Bombyx mori: one gene and its partner. Each later gene encodes a partner of the first gene's protein in a complex. Links are inferred from orthologs where the notes say so. Each region holds a gene or a part of one and is shown in the gene's direction. Other genes may lie near its edges.

Region 1 (9,534 bases):
TTGGTCATTGTTCCAAAAAGAAAAAAGCTTATCGTTTTGATATGGAGGAAAGAAATGAGATAAAATGAGATGAAGTTAGTTTATTTGAGATTTCAATTAATTCGGATGAAATTAAGTGAAGCTAGATAAGATGAGGTGAAACAAAGTCTCAGTAAAATGGTGGTTGCTTAGTGAGACTTTTTAGAGGACTTTTTGAAATAGCTCGAGATGCTAACTATGTCTATCTTTTTATATATTTTTCTACATTTGGGAACTTTCACAGGTGTAAAACAAAAAATAAGCCATCACTATTACACATTTAAAGCTGAAGAAACACTGAATTAAGAAAATAAATCAAATCACAAAACTTTCCCTCCTCGCGTTTCCGCCAAATGTATTTATATATTCTTTCATAATGTATATTCGTATATTTATGGTTGTAGTATTAAGTGTTTAGTAAGAGAAGGACATATGTTGGACGGTTATATTTTGAAGGGATTGGGTTCTTTAGGTGATGAGGGGCTATTTAAAAACACAACTGCTTCATTATAATTATATTGCAGATTGCTTAAACACTTTTACACCATTATACAATTATTATCTTTATATATTTTATAAAACTATTACATGTTTTTCATGCTGTGTCGAGATGAGAAGTCCTACTGACATTTTCTTACGAGAATACAATGATCTGTTTTTTAAAACATTTAAAATAATTCCAATATTCGAAATCTAATCAAGTGTCAAGTGTTGCCTGCCATTACATTTAATATACAAACTCCAACAACATAGATCCAAACTACCACTTTTTTGTTTCTATCGACTTCTTTTGTGTCTTCTTTCACTTATCTAATGATATAACACAAACACAACTTGTTTTGTCCATTCTTATTACATTTAATGTAAATCTGTGCTATTAAGACTTGTGTCACTCGTGATTGCTTCTCAAATCGTCTTTCATTTCTTGACTGGAAAACATTAACTCCAATACAAAAAAATGATAAGTTCGTTTTGCGGAACGAGATTCGGACAACAATTTCAGTAATGCGAATGATTTTTATGTTTGTACAGAAATGGCTTAATTTTTTTTTTATAAAAGAGATGAATATCCGTTCTATGATCCTTTTGCCTCTCATTAAAAGAAACTATAGAACTTTCCTCCATAGACGAAACTAACAACACTGGACCACTCACTGGACACATTTCAATTTTTAGCACTTGTCAATTGTTTTTGGTTGTCTTTGTCTTTTTAGTTTCCGTCATCATTTGAATGGCTGTTAGGTTTGCTCTATTAACTTTATTTACGTAAAAATTCAATTTAATTGTATGAACCAACGTTTTTATTGTATTTAAATACAATTCAAATCTAAATTTTGGAATAATCAGGTTGGTAAATATTTAAAATTATTAGATGACAAGAAACACGTAGGTAGGTAGTTTAGAGATAACCTAGCTTAGGTTTGAAACTTTTGCTACCGCCTTTATTTTCGCTCAATTTTTTACATAATATGGTGATTAATTAATCCACAATTAAATATCGTTTCACGTTCATCGAATAATTTTTCATCATCAATTTATACTTAAAAATGCTTAAATGAGTACTAAGTAGTTTCATTTTAATATTTTAGCATGGCTGCTTTATTACACGAGAAGGTTTGGTTAGACCGGAATGTTTACAATGATGCTGAAAAAGCTTATTATGAATCTTTGTCGAAGGTAAGTTTTTAATAAAAAAAATTATTCATACATTTTTTCATCTGAGTAATTCTATAAATTATACTTTAAAGAATGGAGTTTGTCGATAGTTAACGTAATTCAATGATGATTTTGTAGGTCCAAGCACCATTATCGTTAGCTCGATCATCATTGGCCAGTGAAGTCGCAAAGGCTAGACAGCATATTAAAAATTCTTTAGAATGTGTGAGTAGATGTTGTTTTATTATATTTCACACATTGCTTCACACAAATCTATTAGATTTGTCACAGTATTTATTTGTCAAATATCTGTGTGTAAGGTTATTGTTTCAATAAGCAAAGACAAAGTTTTAATTTCTCATTTTTTATGTTATAACAAATAAAAATCAGCTTATATGCAGGGTACTCTGTGACACAGAGAACATGTCCACTAGCTGCTTTTGCTTTAGATTTCAGGTTTATCAAATATGAGTATATTAGTGACAAGTAACTCTAACGTCATTAGAAAGCTAATATAGTTTTCTGCTTGTGTTAAAATAATCCGTTCAATCCACTTTGTATTTGAGAATGGCTAGATTACATTTTGCATAAGATCTACATTGAACTAATAAAATAAAGTGAAATTGAAATAAGTAAAACAATAAAATTTTGGCTCAGTTCATTTCATATAAAATAAAGGCAATAGAGGTCATTTTCAGTAGCAATTTTTGGCTTGGCTTTTTTGTGCTATGAAATATTAGAGAATCATTCTTGTTTATTTTACTGTAGAAAATTAGTATTGTAAATTAGTATACAACATTTATTTAAATTTATTGTCTTATTTCAATATGCCTATATAAACATGCTAATTAATTAATAGATTTTCATGTCGAGTAGTGCAATAGAGAGTATAGTATTCACTTTTTTTTTCAGATGGATAGTGTAGCAACTTTGGCGGGTGTTCCTAATACAGAGCTCAGTACTAAAGTCATCAGCTTAGAAAACGAAAACAAGGATTTGAAAAAGGCTATAGATGATTTACGTAATTTAGTCATCAGCCTGCAAGTCCGTGTTGAAACCTTGGAATCATCCAGCAGTATCACCTCTGATTGTATTCAAGTAAGCATTGAATTTATAAGGGGAAAGTAATAATAGATTTGGGACATTAGTATTACATATTTTTTTATTGCTTAGATAGGTGGACGAGCTCACAGCCCACCTGGTGTTAAGTGGTTACTGGAGCCCATAGACATCCACAACGTAAATGCGCCACCTACCTTGAGATATGGTTTCATATAGTTACAACAGTCGCCCCACCCTTCAAACCGAAACGCATTACTGTTTCACGGCAGAAATAGGCAGTTTGGTGGTACCTTCTGTACTGCATCTGCGTACTGGAAAGTCTCTTTGAAGCTAACATTGAAAGCTACTGCAACTTAGCAGTTGATTGAATATTTTCAACTTCCACTATCACCTTTAACGCGTTGTTGCTTACTTTAGTTTTCAGCGACCACAGGGTTGATTTTTTAGATTAAAATTTCCATATCAGAAGCATTCAAACTTAAAACGAGTTTTACGTTCGTTTGTGGTGTGCCCTCTGTACACGTCATTAATGCTGTGAGCTGTATGTGCGGCGTTCTTACTGTGACAGATTTCTTATACTCGAATTTTATCATGTAGATATTGATGATGATTGACTAACAATAAATAAATGACTGAATTTGAAAATATAATTCAATATTATTTATATAAATTTATTTGAGCTTAGAATTTATTACCAGCATACTTAAATTACGTTACAAATTGCCAGTGTTGTGAAATGGCAACTTCATGGATTTTCATTGTATGATAAGCTGACATGAAATATATACCCTGTATATTCTGTAAATAGGGTGATCTTTTTTCAAGATTTGGAAGACAATGGGAAAGATTATATGCCAAAACATATGTGTTGCCAAACCATTAATTCCAAAGTTAAGTCTTAAAGTTAATTCCACTGTAGAGCTTCCAGAGTCTTATCAGCAAAATTGGCAATTTCAGGCATTTATTGTCTCTTCTTAAATTTAAAATGCAATAATTTTAAATGTACAAAATACCTATTGTATTACTAAATATATTTATCATTTACCTTTCAGTCAGAAAAACCTGCAGCAGCTTCTACTGATAAGGATGACGAAGATGATGATGTTGATTTGTTTGGTTCAGATGATGAAGAGGAGAGTGCTGAAGCAGCTAAGATAAAGGAAGAGCGTCTTGCTGCATATAATGCAAAGAAAGCTAAAAGTAGGCTATAAACATAATTCTTGCTCCTCTGTGCATCTACTGTGCTGATCTGTTTCTAAAGTGACAGATTGGATACTGCTGTGCCCTGAGCTCAGTCACTTTGTAGGCATAACATTCTACACTTTCTGGGGTGTGGTCTGCATTCCAAAACTATTACATACATAATATTTAACATACATACTTATTACATTCATAATACAATGCTTGGATAAGAAAGATTGTCATTCAGGTTTTCAGGCCAAGTACCATAACATACAATATCCCTTCAAGTTTCCAGTGCTTGTTGGCTACTTAAGCTTTTCTATGAATTTCATCATTCTTGATTACGATAGTAACATGTAAATCATATTTATGACCTTTAAAATTGCCATTTTGCTGATATTAAGAATTTCTAAAAAATAATTAGACCATATTATGATAAATAGTATAAAAGTATAGTATTAATAACCAATCCAAAAATAATTATTTCACAGAGCCAGTGCTAATTGCAAAGTCGAATATTATTCTGGATGTAAAGCCATGGGATGATGAGACTGATATGGCAGCCTTGGAACAAGCTGTAAGGTCAATCAGCACTGATGGCCTCTTGTGGGGTGCCGCTAAACTAGTGCCTTTGGCTTATGGTATCCATAAGCTGCAAATTTCCTGTGTTGTTGAAGATGATAAGGTTTCTATTGATTGGCTTACTGAGGAAATCGAGAAAAATGAAGACTATGTAAGTGTTCAGTGTACTATAGAAAAAATGGTAATAATAAGTATATGGCAGCTAATATCAAATATTGATGCTTAAGTATTCACTGTAGTGCCTGTTATGAACTTGTATAGGACAAGAAAGCCCTTATATTAATGCAGTTGTAACTGTCAACATGCTAAAATGAGGGAGGGGCTTTCTTTATGAGCTCCAGTAATTTCTCAATGTGTGGTCTATAAGATTGTTTGCCGTTTTATTGAATTAAAAAGATATGAACACATAAGATCAGAGAGATTAATTTAAAATATTCTGACAATTTACAAAATTCACGGTTCTTTAATAGAATAGGGAACCAGACGATATTTGGAGTTATAATAAATGACTATCTTACTATGAATTATAATATGCTCATGTATAACGAATACCCACATAATAATATGACCTCATGCATTTATATTGGTGAGAACCAATTGTTTACTGGTGGTAGGACCTTTTGTGAGTCCGCACGGGTAGGTACCACCACCCTGCCTATTGCTGCCGTGAAGCAGTTTCGGTTTGAAGGGTGGGGCAGCCGTTGTAACTATACTGAGACCTTAGAACTTATATCTCAAGGTGGGTCGCGCATTTACGTTGTGGATGTCTACGGGCTCCAGTAACCGCTTAACACCAGGTGGCCTGTGAGCTTGTCCACCCACTTAAGCAGTAAAAAAAAACATCTTATGTAAAGAACAGGTTTGAAAATAATGCAATGTTAGTATGGAAACATTAATGTTTAATATCTCATATTGTGACAGCAATGCTTTTTTTACTTAATAAATATCATTTCATAATTACCTTTTACAAATTTTTGTTATTGGTATACTGTTACATGATATGAATAAATTTGGTTAAAAATGTCAATATTAGCATTTGAAAATTGGAGAAAACTTTCTAGAAATTATTATTGAACTTAAAATATGATCTGTTCTACATTTATACTCTAGCATTTCGCATATGTTTTTTCCAGGTACAAAGTGTCGATATTGCTGCGTTCAACAAAGTCTAGCACAGAAATGTTAAATAAAATAAAATGAAAACATTGTTTGAATAATTTTTTTTGTCTCCCAATCACGAAAATATCCTCAAAGATTTCTTTCCTTGCAATAAGAAATGGCCGTTGTCCGGTCTTAGACTGCTGATTTTTACAATCGAACACATAAATGTTTGTTTAACATCTGTTGGAGAATGTGGTGCGTTATGAGTCTTAAAGTAGGTAATTTGTTAAGGAAGTTTATTTGTAACAAAATTAAAAAATACGATACACATTGTATTTTAAGTCTGTGGATCTTAAAAGAAAATAACATGTATAATCAGATGGACGGGTTTCGGCTTTCTTCGGGAATAGCTATTCATCTCGTAATTTTCTGCCTACACCCTTCTGCGTTTTTTCCCCAATTCATATAGGGTGTAGTGAAGTGAATATATTTATTTATTTGTTGCAATTAATAAATGAACATCACGAAATAGCTAAATAAAACACTGTAGGCAAATATTAAAAAGTACCACCTACAGAAAGATTCACAACAAATTTCCCCAATGGTTGTTTTTATTGGTAGACACTTAATTTTCAAAGATGTATTTCTAATGAATAAACTTGAAATATGTTGTAGCTATCTCATTAATATTGTTAATAGTAGTCTCTCTCACTCACTCTCTTGAATATATAATCTTGACCTTGGGCCAGAGAACATGCTCTTTGAGGAATGAGCATCTTAAGCTGCCTAAATCACGGCAGTCCGTCTGTAAATCATGTCAGTCAACTCCACTTCTTACTACCCGTATGAGAAGTGGAGTTTCTTCCTCACACGACCGTCAGGTAGGATTAGTTGCGAGGCCTAGCTTGTGCAAGAGTATTAGTGACCTACAGTGTCATTTTTAGGTCCTTGTTAGAATTCCTAGTTTTTTTTTATAAACTGTGTCACGTTTCAGCTTTGGTATACCGAGTATGGCTTTCACATGCAGTTCTCATAGTTTATTTCCAGAGCGATCTGCTTTTAATGGGCGCTCAGGAGTTAATTCGGATGTTAGTAAGCTCTTAGGGAGCCCACAGGCAAGCTCAGGATCGATCAAAGGCCGAATTCCTGGCTAATTTATCCGCTATTTCATTGATTTCTAAACCACTATGTCTCGGCCCTAACAAATGGGAAGTTTATTGCTGCTGACCAGCATGTCATGGTTTGCCATGCGTTCTGCAGTACCTAAGCGTAGGGTTGGTTGAACTGAGGCTAAAAATTTAATAGCCATTTGTTCATTGGACTATCATCGTTTGTTCAGTAGAGATCTCAATAATTTCAACTTTCAAGTTGTTGAATTTACTAAAGTTATCTGTGATTCAGTTTTTTAGGATACCATTTAATTTAATAATGGATATGAGGTTTAGGTACAGTTGAGGTCGAGAAAAACATAACTTATTGCATACATATCTGTTTAAAAGCAATGTTTCTAAAAAGCCAACCTTATCTCCTATTTATGTTGCGATATTAATTAATTAATTTACAAAGTCTACAGAGCAAAAAGGTGATTACAAAATATTCCTAGCTTAGACTACAGATTTCACAATTTACCATTAAACATGTCAAGACAATGGTTATTAAGTTTGAACATTTATCCTTCCGCACACACCTGTGTCGCTTTCACCAATCACTTAAATAATTCTGGGAAGTTAAATAATCGTCAGCGTTCTTATATCGAGGCGGCGCTCTGTAATGTACGAGATTTATCTCTAGATTGGCTATAAAGGACCGAGTGAAGTTCCCGCATTCCTTGTACATTACTAAGTATCTATCTATAGGTAGGTGTACATTGTATATTAACAACTTAAGCCCGTGGTTGCTAGCCTCGAGGGTCGTGGGTTCGATTTCCACATCGGGCAAAATTTTGTGTGGTAACAGGTTTATATGCTCTCTACTGAGTGATTAGGTAATGTCCATATACCTATGTATGTATAAACATATGTAAGTTTGTATATCGGTGTTTGGTTCCAACAGTCTTTGGACAACGATCGTACCTATTTCTACGACAAATCATTCGCGCGTCTTGTTTAGCGGAGCTTATAGAAGTTATATATATAAATAGTACCTACATAGCGCCATCTTATCCCACTCGGAGACTCCCTCGTACCAATATGTAGTGGATCTAGGATTTATTGTTACTGATCTTCAAATATATTAATAAATAATAACAGTAATAAGGTAGAAGTTTTGTTTTTGTAAATTGAAGACTTTTACAAAAAATGGTTTAATGCAAAATCAATTTAAATTTCATGAAATTTTCTGTTCTTAGAATGACGGAAGCTACAGATAGGTGCCGATCAATAAAATATATTTTTTCACAATTAATTTCTGCCAATACTAGATATTTCAAGTATATTTATTAAATTTAACACTGCAACAGCTCCGAGGGCACATCTTGTATTATTTAATTCCTTTGTACTAAAACAAGGCAATCGGTTGATACAGGCTGTTCCTTCCATTTAAAAGACATCAACGCGTGTACATCTTGTCTCGTGTGAGGAACCAACAAAATATGGCACATTAAATAGATATTAGTAAATAATCAGGACAGTGCTTTCAGAGAAAAATCCTAACTTCGCATTTCATTATTGGCAATTGCGTAAGATTGTGTAATCGGCACCCGATTGTTAGTTTTTGAATGATTTTGCTGTGGATACCTATCTATCTTCATCGATTATATTATGTACTATCGGCGCAGTCGTGGCTGTCAGGGCGTTCGTCGCCTCAGGCGGTGCCTTAGCGATTTTGTTTTGTACCACTTTCTCAAAGTTAGCAGTCTTACTTCTATGCGAGATTAATTATTATTTGTTTCTTGATTATTTAAGAATATTCATCTATTAAAGTTTTTTGAGAAAAATGGGAGCCTTCCTTTCCGTGAAATTTGGTATGAATAAACAGATTCGCAATTTAAAGTTTAACCGACTTAACGATTCGAAAATTTGTTTCTAATGTTACAAAAAGAAGTAGTATTTTTTCGTAAGTTGCACTTGAGAGTGGACAGTGGGCAACGTCCTCGGACAGGAGGGCCAGCATAGCACGGGAGATAAATAGTTGATGTCGGTGCGTAGTGTCGGGCGCGGGTAGCGCGGGGAGTGCGGTGAGTGGCGGCGGCGGCGCGCGGAGGCTGCTGCGCTCAGAGCACCTGCGCCCGCGCTCCGTAGCGCCGCTCGTCGCGTGCTCGAGTACCCGCGCTCCGGCCCGCGCGCCGCGTGAACACGCCGCCCACGGTACGTGATACGTCGGGGTCGGTCGACAGCGCGTCCGCCACTGCGCTCGCCCGCATCACACCCGCGCCGCTTGCTGGCGCGCCGCGCGGTGCTACAACCGACCGGCCGGTTTTGTAATTTTGCCGGGCGGGCCGTGACGTCATGATACTAGTTTGACGTGCATGCGTGACGGCCTGTGCCAGGGCGCCTGCGCCGTCGCCGCCCCCGACCTTAGGACTAGTGCTATGACGTGCTTGCTTCGTTTATAAGTTTAAACTTAAGTGACAGCGGCAATTAGACAAATTATCTGTCCTATTCATTTCCTTAGATGGATTCAATCGAGATTGCTTTGTTTATGTGGACTCATAGTATTTTATCGAGCTAATAAACGACAATTGATGATAATATACATAAGTTAATGGATGTGGTCGTTATTGTTTTAAATTAAAACATGTGTATCGTGAAGCGTATGTCGTGTAGCAATAGGGTATATGAAATGTTTGTTTGTGTGGGTAAATTGTGCGCGTCTGTGTAACGATGTGACCAACGGGCTTTAGCTGTATGTATGTGTGTGCGACTGCACACTGATACAGAACGCAGCTCAGCGGCACAGCCTTTTTGTAATTTTGTTTTTCCTCCTTCAGCGCGA
Region 2 (10,439 bases), on another chromosome or scaffold:
TTTTCGCAGTCAAGTAGATAACCATATGACTCTAAGGTCTAAATTAAAAAAATCATATCATATAGACCGGTTTTTTTTCCAGGCATTGGGCTAAACTCTTAAAAATTTGTGACTAGCTACAGAACGTTAATCGAGTAAATAACAATGTTTTGCCACTTACCATTCTAAAGTTTTACTACACCACACTCAATCAGAGATAAATGTGCGTCTGACTGTTTGTAATCACAAACTGATTCCGATAAAATTAAATCAGAAGCAACAAAAATACCACAGCAGATTCACAGTTACCTACCATCGATGACCATCGATCTAAATTACGCACGGATTGTATTGTTGCCATGAATTGTATGAAGCTGCTCAAGGGAGGACCATTAAAATGAATTAGGTCAATATTTCATAGGTTCAATAATCAATCCAAAAAGTTCATTAGAAGTAATACTAATATATAAATTCATTTCCGTATGTTTTAATTTTATGGGTCTCGATATATATTTAGTCTATTGTAAATTCGTTAATAATAGTCAGGAGAACGTGAGTAGCGCCACCTACCTTGAGATATATTGTTTTGTACAATTGTATCAGCTACCTATAAGAAATAAGTTAAAACTAAATTTAGAGCAGAACTATCTACACAAATCTGTATTAGTTCCAAATTCAAAAGCTAGATTAGGCTAGACTCTTGAGCTTCAACTATTTTCTTCTGTTCTGCAAAAAACATTAGTAATAGTGGTAAAACAACTACGATTGCATTAAAAGAATCAGTAGCAGTGAAATGTAAAAGTTAATACACGGTTAATGTTTCAAAAAAATCATGAAATATTCAGTTCCAATAAAGTTACTAATACTTAAAGTGTATAAGCTCGTCCATGATAGTATTAGACAAATAGCGTTTTTAATCATTTAAATTGTGATGTGGCCATATTACGAGGTTTAACAGAAAAGTTAGCTAATACTTTATTCGATAAACTACTTTAGTCCACTTAAAAGAAGAACACAGCAACATAAATCATTCAATTCTCCTAGCAAAAACTAATTGCAGAAGTTGACTTTGTTCTATAAAATCATTCATTTAATTGCTCGCTTAGGAAGAAGCTAACCCACAAAATGAGCCACTGATCAGCATGGATGACATAAGACGTGCTGCTAGCATCACACAAATAAACTTCGCAGGTCAGACGATATTAAATTGTTGTCAAATATTAATTTGTGCCCAAGACATGGCCATAATAAATGTGTTTCAATCCTTCACGTCAGCTTGAAGACTTTTGAAAGATACAAAGACAGCCAGACACAGACATTCTCATTCAGCGTTTTGTTACAATGATAAAGAGCTACACAAGACTATATTCTTTAACATACGGTGTTTCTGATCGAGTGATGTATAGACTAGCTGTACGGACCGTGAGAGAGAATTAATAATATAACGTCCCGTGGTATTGGTAGTTTCATTAGCCCGAAAATAAGGACCTAAACTACAGTATGTACAGTCACTTGGAAATAGGCTTTTGGTTGCAAGGCATTTCCAATATTAGTCTAATTCTAATCTAATTAAAGAAAGAAAAAGGGATTTTTTTAATAAACTAAAAAATTGATTAACAGATAACCGTGTGTATGCAATTTTCACTTAATTTCTATTTCAGCTGTCACAGAATGTCAATGTCAAAGGGCAAAATCCTCCCTCGCCAATATTTCCTCGGCCCCCCTTCTCTTTCCGAAAACTCCAACCATGGCGGCCGGGGTAGGTGTAATTTACCTTGAAATATCTTGTTAATCCAGTCATTGATAGAAAACTTATTAATAAAACCCAATGATAATGAAAGTATTAATAATATTACGCATTTATTTTTTCAGGTACTTTACACTTATCCGGAAAACTTCCGCGCTTATAAAGCGTTGATCGCCGCACAATATTCCGGGACTGATGTGAAAGTAGCACCGAATTTCGTATTTGGCGAGACCAACAAGTCCGAAGACTTCTTGAAGAAGTTTCCTGCCGGAAAAGTGAGTTTAAACCGGCGTATTGTGCATAGTAATATTTCGGCATATGTTGAGTGTTGTGACGTGTAATATCGGTGTATATTTTAGGTGCCTGCATTCGAAAGTGCCGATGGAAAGGTGCTTCTAACTGAAAGCAATGCCATCGCTTACTACGGTGAGTTTTTTTATTTTCAAATACACCTACAAAACTAACTTAAATAAATCTAACCTAACTAACTAGAAGAATACCTAATAAACCAAAGTTAAAAAAAGATAAGGTTGTAAATACCTCTTGCGAAGTTATTTCAAATAAATTTAACTATATAATTCGTCGATGGTACAAGTATGAAAGCGTTTTTCTACTTAATCTGATTTAAAAACTCATAAAATCGACGAATCATGACTTTTCCTTGATGAAACAATACTCATAATTTCCGTTAAATATAATTATAGAGGACACTCACAAATCACTAATAATATTTAATTATTGCATAATATTTTATAATCCCAATCATACACCCTTTCACTTCAAGTAGTATCAGAAGTTAAAAGAAAAATACAACATTTAACTTGAATTAAAAAAGGAACTTTACAGTTGCCAATGAAAGTCTCCGCGGAGGAGATCTGGCTACCCAAGCCCGTGTCTGGCAGTGGGCATCATGGTCTGACAGCGAACTACTGCCTGCTTCCTGCGCTTGGGTCTTCCCTTACCTTGGTATCATGCAATTCAACAAACAGGTAATTGAAGAATTTGTGATATTAAAATATATATGTGTTAGTCTACTGATATAAGTGATTACATAAAAATATATGAATATTATCATTATTCAGAATTAAACTTTTTTTTTGCTTAGATATATGGCTCACGGCCCTACCTGATGTTAAGTGGTTATCGGACCCCATAGATATCTACAACGTAAATGCTGCCACCCACCTTGAGACATGAGTTGTAAGGTCTCACTCTTAACTGTACAACGGTTGCCCTGCCTTTCAAACCGAAACTCATTACTGCTTCAGGGCAGAAATAGGCAGGGTGGTGGTACCTACTCGTGCAGACTCACAAGACTTCCTACCATCAATAAAAATTTAGTAATATTAAACATAGGATCTTGTACGTTTTCTCTAATTTATTATATTGTCATGGTGCTTAATAAGCTACTCAATATTACAATTATAAGCCACAAACTACTGGCAACTGATATAAGGATTAAATAATTCCAGAATGTTGAACGTGCAAAGTCTGACCTACTGGCCGCCTTAAAAGTACTGGACGGACATCTTCTCACACGCACCTTCCTTGTTACCGAGAGAATCACACTTGCCGATGTCATTGTCTTCAGTACACTGCTGCATGCTTTCCAGGTGAGGATAAGGAAGTTATCCTATGAACTACTGAAAACTTTCTTTTAAGATTTGAATTGATTTTCTTCACCACTTGGAGTAAGCACAGTTAATAAAGTGATACTTCAGAGAATCATTAAACAATACATTACTAAATACATAAAAGTGTTTGTAAAGCAAATAGGAGAACAATAAAAAAGCATAAGACTAAAAAAAGCAAATTGTTATCGAAAATTAAATAGTACCTTAATAATAATAATGAATTTTTTTTTTATTGCTTAGATGGGTGGACGAGCTCACAGCCCACCTGGTGTTAAGTGGTTACTTGAGCGTATAGACAACGTAAATGCGACACCCACCTTGAGATATAAGTTCTAAGGTCTCAAGTATAGCTACACAACGGCTGCCCCACCCTTCAACCCAAAACACATTACTGCTTCACGGCAGAAATAGGCGCGGTGGTGTTACCTACCCGCGCGGACTCACATGGTCCTCCCACCAGTTTTTCAAGAAAGCAAGTCACAATCGATTGGGTTTGAATAGAATGCCATAAAAGCTATTTTACTTCAGCACGTGCTAGACCCGAGCGTCCGTTCGTCGCTGATAAACGTTCAGCGTTGGTTCCTGACCGTCGCCCACCAGCCGCAAGTGTCGGCCGTCGTCGGCTCGCTCACGCTCTGTGCGGCTCCTCCTACATACGACCCTAAAAAGTACCAGGAGTTAGCTGGTGCACAGAACAAGAAGGTACTGTAACTGTTACAGTTTTTTTATCAAAAAATATAATTTAATTATGTTTGTTCAAATTTTAATAGTAATAAGAAAGCAATTATCGAATAAGAACAGCTAAACAGCATTACATATCGTCTTTCCGCATTAAAAGTGTACAATTTCCAAAAATATTCGAAATTGAGTTAATATGCGGAATCATTTGGTATCACCAGTATTTTTCTCAAAATACCGTCAAGAGATCGTAGTTTAGTTTAACTTTTTAGTTTACCTATGTTACTACTATTAATAAAATTAATACATAATTTTAGCTTGCCTTTAAAAGGCAGATAATGTAACTGCTAAAAAATAAAAAATAAATGTTGCAAAGATGATTAATATTAAAAATATCACATGTTAAACCTTAGTAATAACCATATAACCATAAAATTAGTAAGTTTTGAGATTATACAGTTTTATTACGGGAATGCTATGCCAAGGAAATTTTGTTACTTGCAATATATACCATTAAAAATATACTTTTGAATATAGATAGAAAAAAATGTTGCTTAAACTAAAACTTCCCAAAATTGAATTAATAGGAGGGCAAAAAAGATAAGAAGTGTGAAAAGAAAGAGCAACCCAAGAAGAAGGAGGAAGTTGTTCCTGACCTTGAAGAGGAGGAGCTTGAAAAGCCTAAGGAGTCCAAGGACCCCTTCGACTCTATGCCTAAAGGGTAAATAACTGTTATTCACTGAAATGAAAAACAATTCACAAACAAGCAAGCCCTGTTGTTTGATTGTTTAGTGAAAGTGCTTATATACCATGTGTTCTGGTTCATTTTCCAGACTGACCTTTTTTTCTGAAAGATATTTGGTATGTGCATGATCTGATTTTTTATGTATTTTTTGTACTTGAAAAAATCCCAGTTGTGGTTCTTTGAATGTTAAATGAAAGTTTTGGTTTAGTTGGTCATTCAAGAAGGAATCCGTAGTATATAATAAGGGTTTCGGTTAGCCATTAAAATAGTCAGTTCATGAAACTCACATATTGATTAGTATGTTTGCTTAGTCTTGTAATTCAGTTAATTAAAGAAATAAAAATAATAGTTGTGACTAAGAGGGAGGGAATCCCCTTCCAAAGTTTCTGAACGACACTAAAAATATTAATACAGTCAAGGTGTTAAAAATGATACCTTCATTAGAACAATTAACATTTAATAAAAGAGATATCAAACTTTGTTACATTTTTATTTCAGTACCTTCAACATGGATGATTTCAAGCGTGTCTACTCCAACGAAGACGAAGCTAAATCTATTCCTTACTTCTGGGAGAAGTTTGACCCCGAGAACTATTCCATTTGGTATGCTGAATACAAATACCCCGAGGAACTCGCTAAAGTGTTCATGAGCTGTAACCTTATTACGGGTAAGTTTTTTTTTTAATACTTATACAGGTGAATGAGCTCATTACTAGTGCATTTATGGAATAGACAGGATGGTACTACTGAATTGCATTGACACACCTCTCAGAATAATTTTATAAATTGTACGAGTTTTCTTTTATCATAGAATGTCCCTATTGATCATCAAGGGTCTATGAGGATAAAACAAGCAGAAATTGCATAGCAGCCCAGAACTTACAAGTGGACTTTTATGTTTTTACATATAATTTTCGTCTATTCACCAGGTATGTTCCAGAGGTTAGACAAAATGCGCAAACAGGCTTTCGCATCCGTCTGCCTGTTTGGTGAAGACAACAATTCCACCATCTCTGGAGTGTGGGTGTGGCGCGGAAAGGAGCTCGTGTTCCCGCTGTCGTCTGATTGGCAGGTTTGTATACAAATGACATAGTTGCAAAGTAGCATAAAAGCAACCGTGCTGACCGATACAATATATATATATATATATATATATAATGTACTAGCTGACCCTGCAAACTTCGTAGTGCCTGAACCGATATTATAAAAGACCTAAACTTCTGTATAAACTTAAAACAACAAAAGGAATCTGATGGACAGGGGACACATCAATGGAAAAATAAAATTGTTATTTTTGTTTAATTCCGAGCATTTGCATATTTATCTACTTTTTAAACCTTCTCTGGACTTTCACAAATAATTCAAGACCAAAATTAGCCAAATCTGTCCAGCTGTTCTTGAGTTTTAACGAGACTAACGAACAGCAATTCATTTAGTAGTGTAGTTTACCATTCTAAAAGCCAAAAAGTTAATAATATTCATAGGAAAACAAAATTGATTCACAAAACTTAGTTAATTGCTCTTTTAGTAAGTTTATATTTTGAGTGCAATATGTGTAATGATGAGGGGTATCTGATGAGAATTGCTGCCCTGACTAATGTTTAATGGTGTGTGTGTGCATGCAGGGTAGACAACAATAGTGCAGTTACAGTATTTTTCAACAGACATGGCTTTAGAAATAATGTCATTTGTGTGTATTGATTTTATATCGCCGGGCATTTAAAATTAACATTATTATATTCACCCCCACAAAGATTCTCATCTTAACGCCCCCACAACTGCTGTAGAGAATCCAACACTCATATAAATATTATCCTATCCATTAAGTACATGTATTTTCTACATGGATACCAAGTTTCAAGTCAATCGGATGCATGGTTTAGTAGTTATAACGGAACATCCGTAAAAACCACTGTAGATTTATATATTAGTATAGATAACAACCAATCTACAGAAACTAATGAAATAATCGTTTTACAGGTGGACTACGAGTCCTACGACTGGAAGAAACTGGATCCTTCGAGCGAGGAGACCAAGAAACTTGTCCAGGACTACTTCTCGTGGAACGGAACCGACAAAGACGGTAGAAAGTTCAACCAGGGCAAGATATTCAAGTGAATGCCGACCAACGTCCAGCCAATGTATACACATTTCATACAATAACTATAAAAAACTTTACAAAAAAGAAACATTCAAATGTAAATAGGTGGATGTTGGCAATTTTCGGAACTGTCCTCAATTTATACAATTTTTATTAAAACATCAGTAATAAATGATTTTCAATCGCCGTGTAGTGCAGTGCCGAAAACGACGCGGCGTTGCATGAAAAAATGATAATACTTGCATTTATTCAGTGTCGTTCCCGTGATCGATATCTCATCTCAACAAGTCAAATGTGTAATTAAACATGTTTTTTTTATTTATGAGTAAACGGTGGTTTTATTTCTCCTGCCTTAAAATTTATCCTTAGCTTTATTTGTTAGGAAAAGAAACGTGCCGTCCAGTAAGTGCGGAGTGTCGTGAACTGTACGCTTTATGTGTGACAAACAGCGCATTGGTTTTGTCTGTTTATTGGACAAATTGGAAATTGAAACATAAAGACAAAAAAAAATGTTTTTTGTTGTCTAGACAATACTGGGGCCAGTGCGACACGTCCTTTTTTTTTTTTCCTACCTTAGGTGAGCTCACGGGGCTCCAACCTGACGACGTTGCTAACACGAGCCCTAGCAAGATCCGTGCTTCGCAGAATCTACCACCGGATCGGCAACGCGACCCACTGAGAAGATCCGGCGAGAAACTCAGTGGGCTGTCTGAGAGTTAGTTTGCTCGTCGAGCCCTTCGTCGCAAGCGACGGGTCCGACGAGAACGGTGACCAGTGCTTGAAGTACGTAGAAGCACCGTTAGTGGATCGGGAGGATCCGCGATGACGTGTTTTGGGCGACGTCGACTGCTTTCCATTCTTTCTGCAGGATCGGGAATGCGACACGTGCTACTTCGTCGCGTTTAAACTGACAATTTATTCAGTAACTGAATTTAGAACAGTGTAATCAGGAACTTCTAAATTTGCTTCTGAATTCAGTCGACTAAATTTAACCAAGTGTAATAAGCCTTTTAAATGAATCCATATTTGACTATTCAGAAAATTGCCTTGATTACTTTAGGATGGTTACTTTTTAGGATTTTAAATTAATCCGCATAATTAATTTTCTGTGGAATTACGAAGGACGTCTATATCAACCAGTGGGGTTTTAAAAATACCAGCCAAAGAAATTTCTCTTGAAATTTCAAAACATCGATAATAAGAATAAATATACCTATATATTTTGTAGGTAACTATGTAATTAGCCTAATAATGTATAGGTAATTAAATTATGAATAAGTGCGCTGCGAGCCCCTGTGCTCGTGAAAAAAGTTTTTTTACTTGATCTAATTTGGAAATAGTGTATGATGTACATAAAGTTTAATATTACCAGTTTGAGGTTTAGAAATATTACACATACTTTTGATATTACTTGCCCATTTTTAATAAAATTGCTTTAATATTTTCTTAGTAGACTAACTTTAATTTTAAGTGTAATTTCTCATCGCTACCAATAAATGAAATAAAACACACGTTATGAAAGCAAAATTCATATTTTTTTTCTCACATATCAGACTTTTGTCTAAATCGATAGAATTTTTAAACGTTTAGGTACATTTTCTTACAGGATATTATTGCGTTACGTAAATTATTTCTATGAAACTATTCGCTAAGTAAACATGCGAAGTAACAATAGTATAGAGCAAAAGCAGTAATAATTAGTTTAGTATTAAAATGAGGAAAATAGATATGAAACCATGGTAAAGTCGAACGATTAAGAGCTATGAAGTACCATGTATCCACGTTGAGAAGTCTTAAGACTGAAAAAATATGCTCTAAATTAGAATCTTTTTTTTTTATTGCTTAAATGGGTGGACGAGCTCACAGCCCGCCTGGTATTAACCGGCTACTGGAGCCCTTAGAAATCTACAACGTAAATGCGCACACCCATTTCAAGCAAAGGTCTCAGTATAGTTACAACGGCTGCCCCACCCTTCAAACCGAAGCGCATTACTGTTTCACGGCAGATTAAGCGAGGTGGTGGTACCTACGCGTGCGGACTCACAAGAAGTCCTACCACCAGTGCAAATTATAATTTTGCGGGCTTAATTTATTAGCGATTGTAGTTAACAAAACTCACAGGTCACCTTATTTTAAGATGGGGGTTGTAACTTGTAATGATACCTGTAACTCATGTGCTAATCTTAGACATTATTTTGAAAATTAAATCAGATTAATGAAGTTCACTCGGATAATATGAACCGAAAAGTAAATATGTTTTAAAATGGATTTTATATCACGTTTATGATATGATTTTCGAACAATTTACATCAGTTATCATGGTACCTTACCATGGCTTCAGAATATAAGAAAAATCTCGAGGTACACAAGAATAAGAATAAATAAATGCATAACTTTGCGCTGTTCTTATTACATTCATACACGCCATGTCTCTATGTAAATAGATAAAATACTAATAAAATTTTGCTAAATGGCAGCATTTGAAATTTTGAGCCTTGAGAATAAAACCCCATCACAATTTATTATTTAACCTAATTCTATTTAAATATTTGATTTGTTATGTGCTTGTAACAATATGTAGTATTTTGAACATTTTAACGTCTTCGATAAAATTCAGAAGTTTAGAAATTACTCCACTTGGCAAAGGGACGAGGTTTCTATCTTAAATAGCCTATGTAGGAAATACTCTTTTATATAGACAATAGTTATCGTTGACGATATATATAAACTATTGGAACTTGATTCACAACTTTATCCTAAATAATTGATTTACAGGATTACAATTTAAAACATTCATTTAAATTGGGATCTATTTCCAACGCAACAATTTACATTTTTCAAATATAAAATTTTCCACGTAGTTTTAACATTCACTTTCCCGCTAAAACTTTTGATGTTGTCATTTGGATTTTAATTAGAGTTCCGAGAAAAATCACTAGTAGAATTAATATTCTCAGGCAAGCTGCGCAATAATGAGTAATAGCATTCCGATTTAATATTGAATACAGAAATTTTATCGAAATCGCCATGTTGCCGAAGTTGCCAGTTATTAATGTCACTAAAAATCATTGATAAAAAATTGTATTTTACCGAATCTTTTTCATTGCATTCAATATAGATTATTTATTGGTATGCTTCAGGGGACTTAGACAACGCTACATTTTACTAATTTTAATGCGTGTACAGAAAATTGGTGGGATTGACCATAAGACAACGAAAAATTACTTCGAGGGTTGAATGAGTATTTGGTTCAAGCGACATTTCTCTACGCTACATTTATCTTTGTAATTAACGGTGCGTTTTATTTGGTATTACCATCGGTTCGCTGGTGTTAACCGAACTTCAATTATGTTTACTCCATTCAAATAGATGGAGTAGTTTTTTTGTGATGGCAATTTTTCCAAATTTTAAACTTCAAATGGCTTTCCTGTAAAGTTGCAAAAATGTCGCTTAAAGCCAAATACGCTTTCACCCCCGGATTTGGTATACCTTACGTCATCCAATACAGCTGTGTACATTGTAAAAGTTTTACCACTATCCGAATGTATGTGTAGG

Evidence for each region.
Region 2: the proteins of Ef-1d (region 1) and Ef-1g are in contact, whole or in part, in a crystal structure (PDB 5JPO), measured with the Homo sapiens proteins. The link is inferred for Bombyx mori from reciprocal best matches to the Homo sapiens genes EEF1D and EEF1G. Residues at the interface, in NP_001123527.1 of Homo sapiens: Ala2, Asn4, Phe5, Leu6, His8, Glu9, Ile11, Trp12, Phe13, Lys15, Phe16; in NP_001395.1 of Homo sapiens: Tyr9, Trp13, Arg14, Phe40, Gly41, Asn44, Gly56, Lys57, Val58, Ser104, Val107, Pro108, Ser111, Thr112, Phe115, Ile120, Met121, His123, Asn130, Glu134.

Annotation. Positions count from the first base shown.
Region 1 is NC_085111.1:9,759,399-9,768,932, forward strand, and holds Ef-1d (elongation factor 1 delta), read left to right. Parts: upstream 1-1,305; 5' UTR 1,306-1,365; intron 1,366-1,607; 5' UTR 1,608-1,608; coding exon 1,609-1,695; intron 1,696-1,812; coding exon 1,813-1,899; intron 1,900-2,586; coding exon 2,587-2,772; intron 2,773-3,788; coding exon 3,789-3,936; intron 3,937-4,409; coding exon 4,410-4,651; coding exon of another isoform or gene 4,652-4,726; exon of another isoform or gene 4,727-5,633; coding exon 5,634-5,672; 3' UTR 5,673-5,692; downstream 5,693-9,534.
Region 2 is NC_085124.1:12,660,376-12,670,814, reverse strand, and holds Ef-1g (elongation factor 1 gamma), read left to right. Parts: upstream 1-1,726; coding exon 1,727-1,738; intron 1,739-1,851; coding exon 1,852-2,001; intron 2,002-2,085; coding exon 2,086-2,152; intron 2,153-2,572; coding exon 2,573-2,715; intron 2,716-3,198; coding exon 3,199-3,339; intron 3,340-3,888; coding exon 3,889-4,062; intron 4,063-4,625; coding exon 4,626-4,759; intron 4,760-5,281; coding exon 5,282-5,451; intron 5,452-5,712; coding exon 5,713-5,855; intron 5,856-6,763; coding exon 6,764-6,901; 3' UTR 6,902-7,214; downstream 7,215-10,439. Other genes in the region: Cnb (calcineurin B), read right to left, coding at 161-163. UniProt on the Homo sapiens protein: Probably plays a role in anchoring the complex to other cellular components.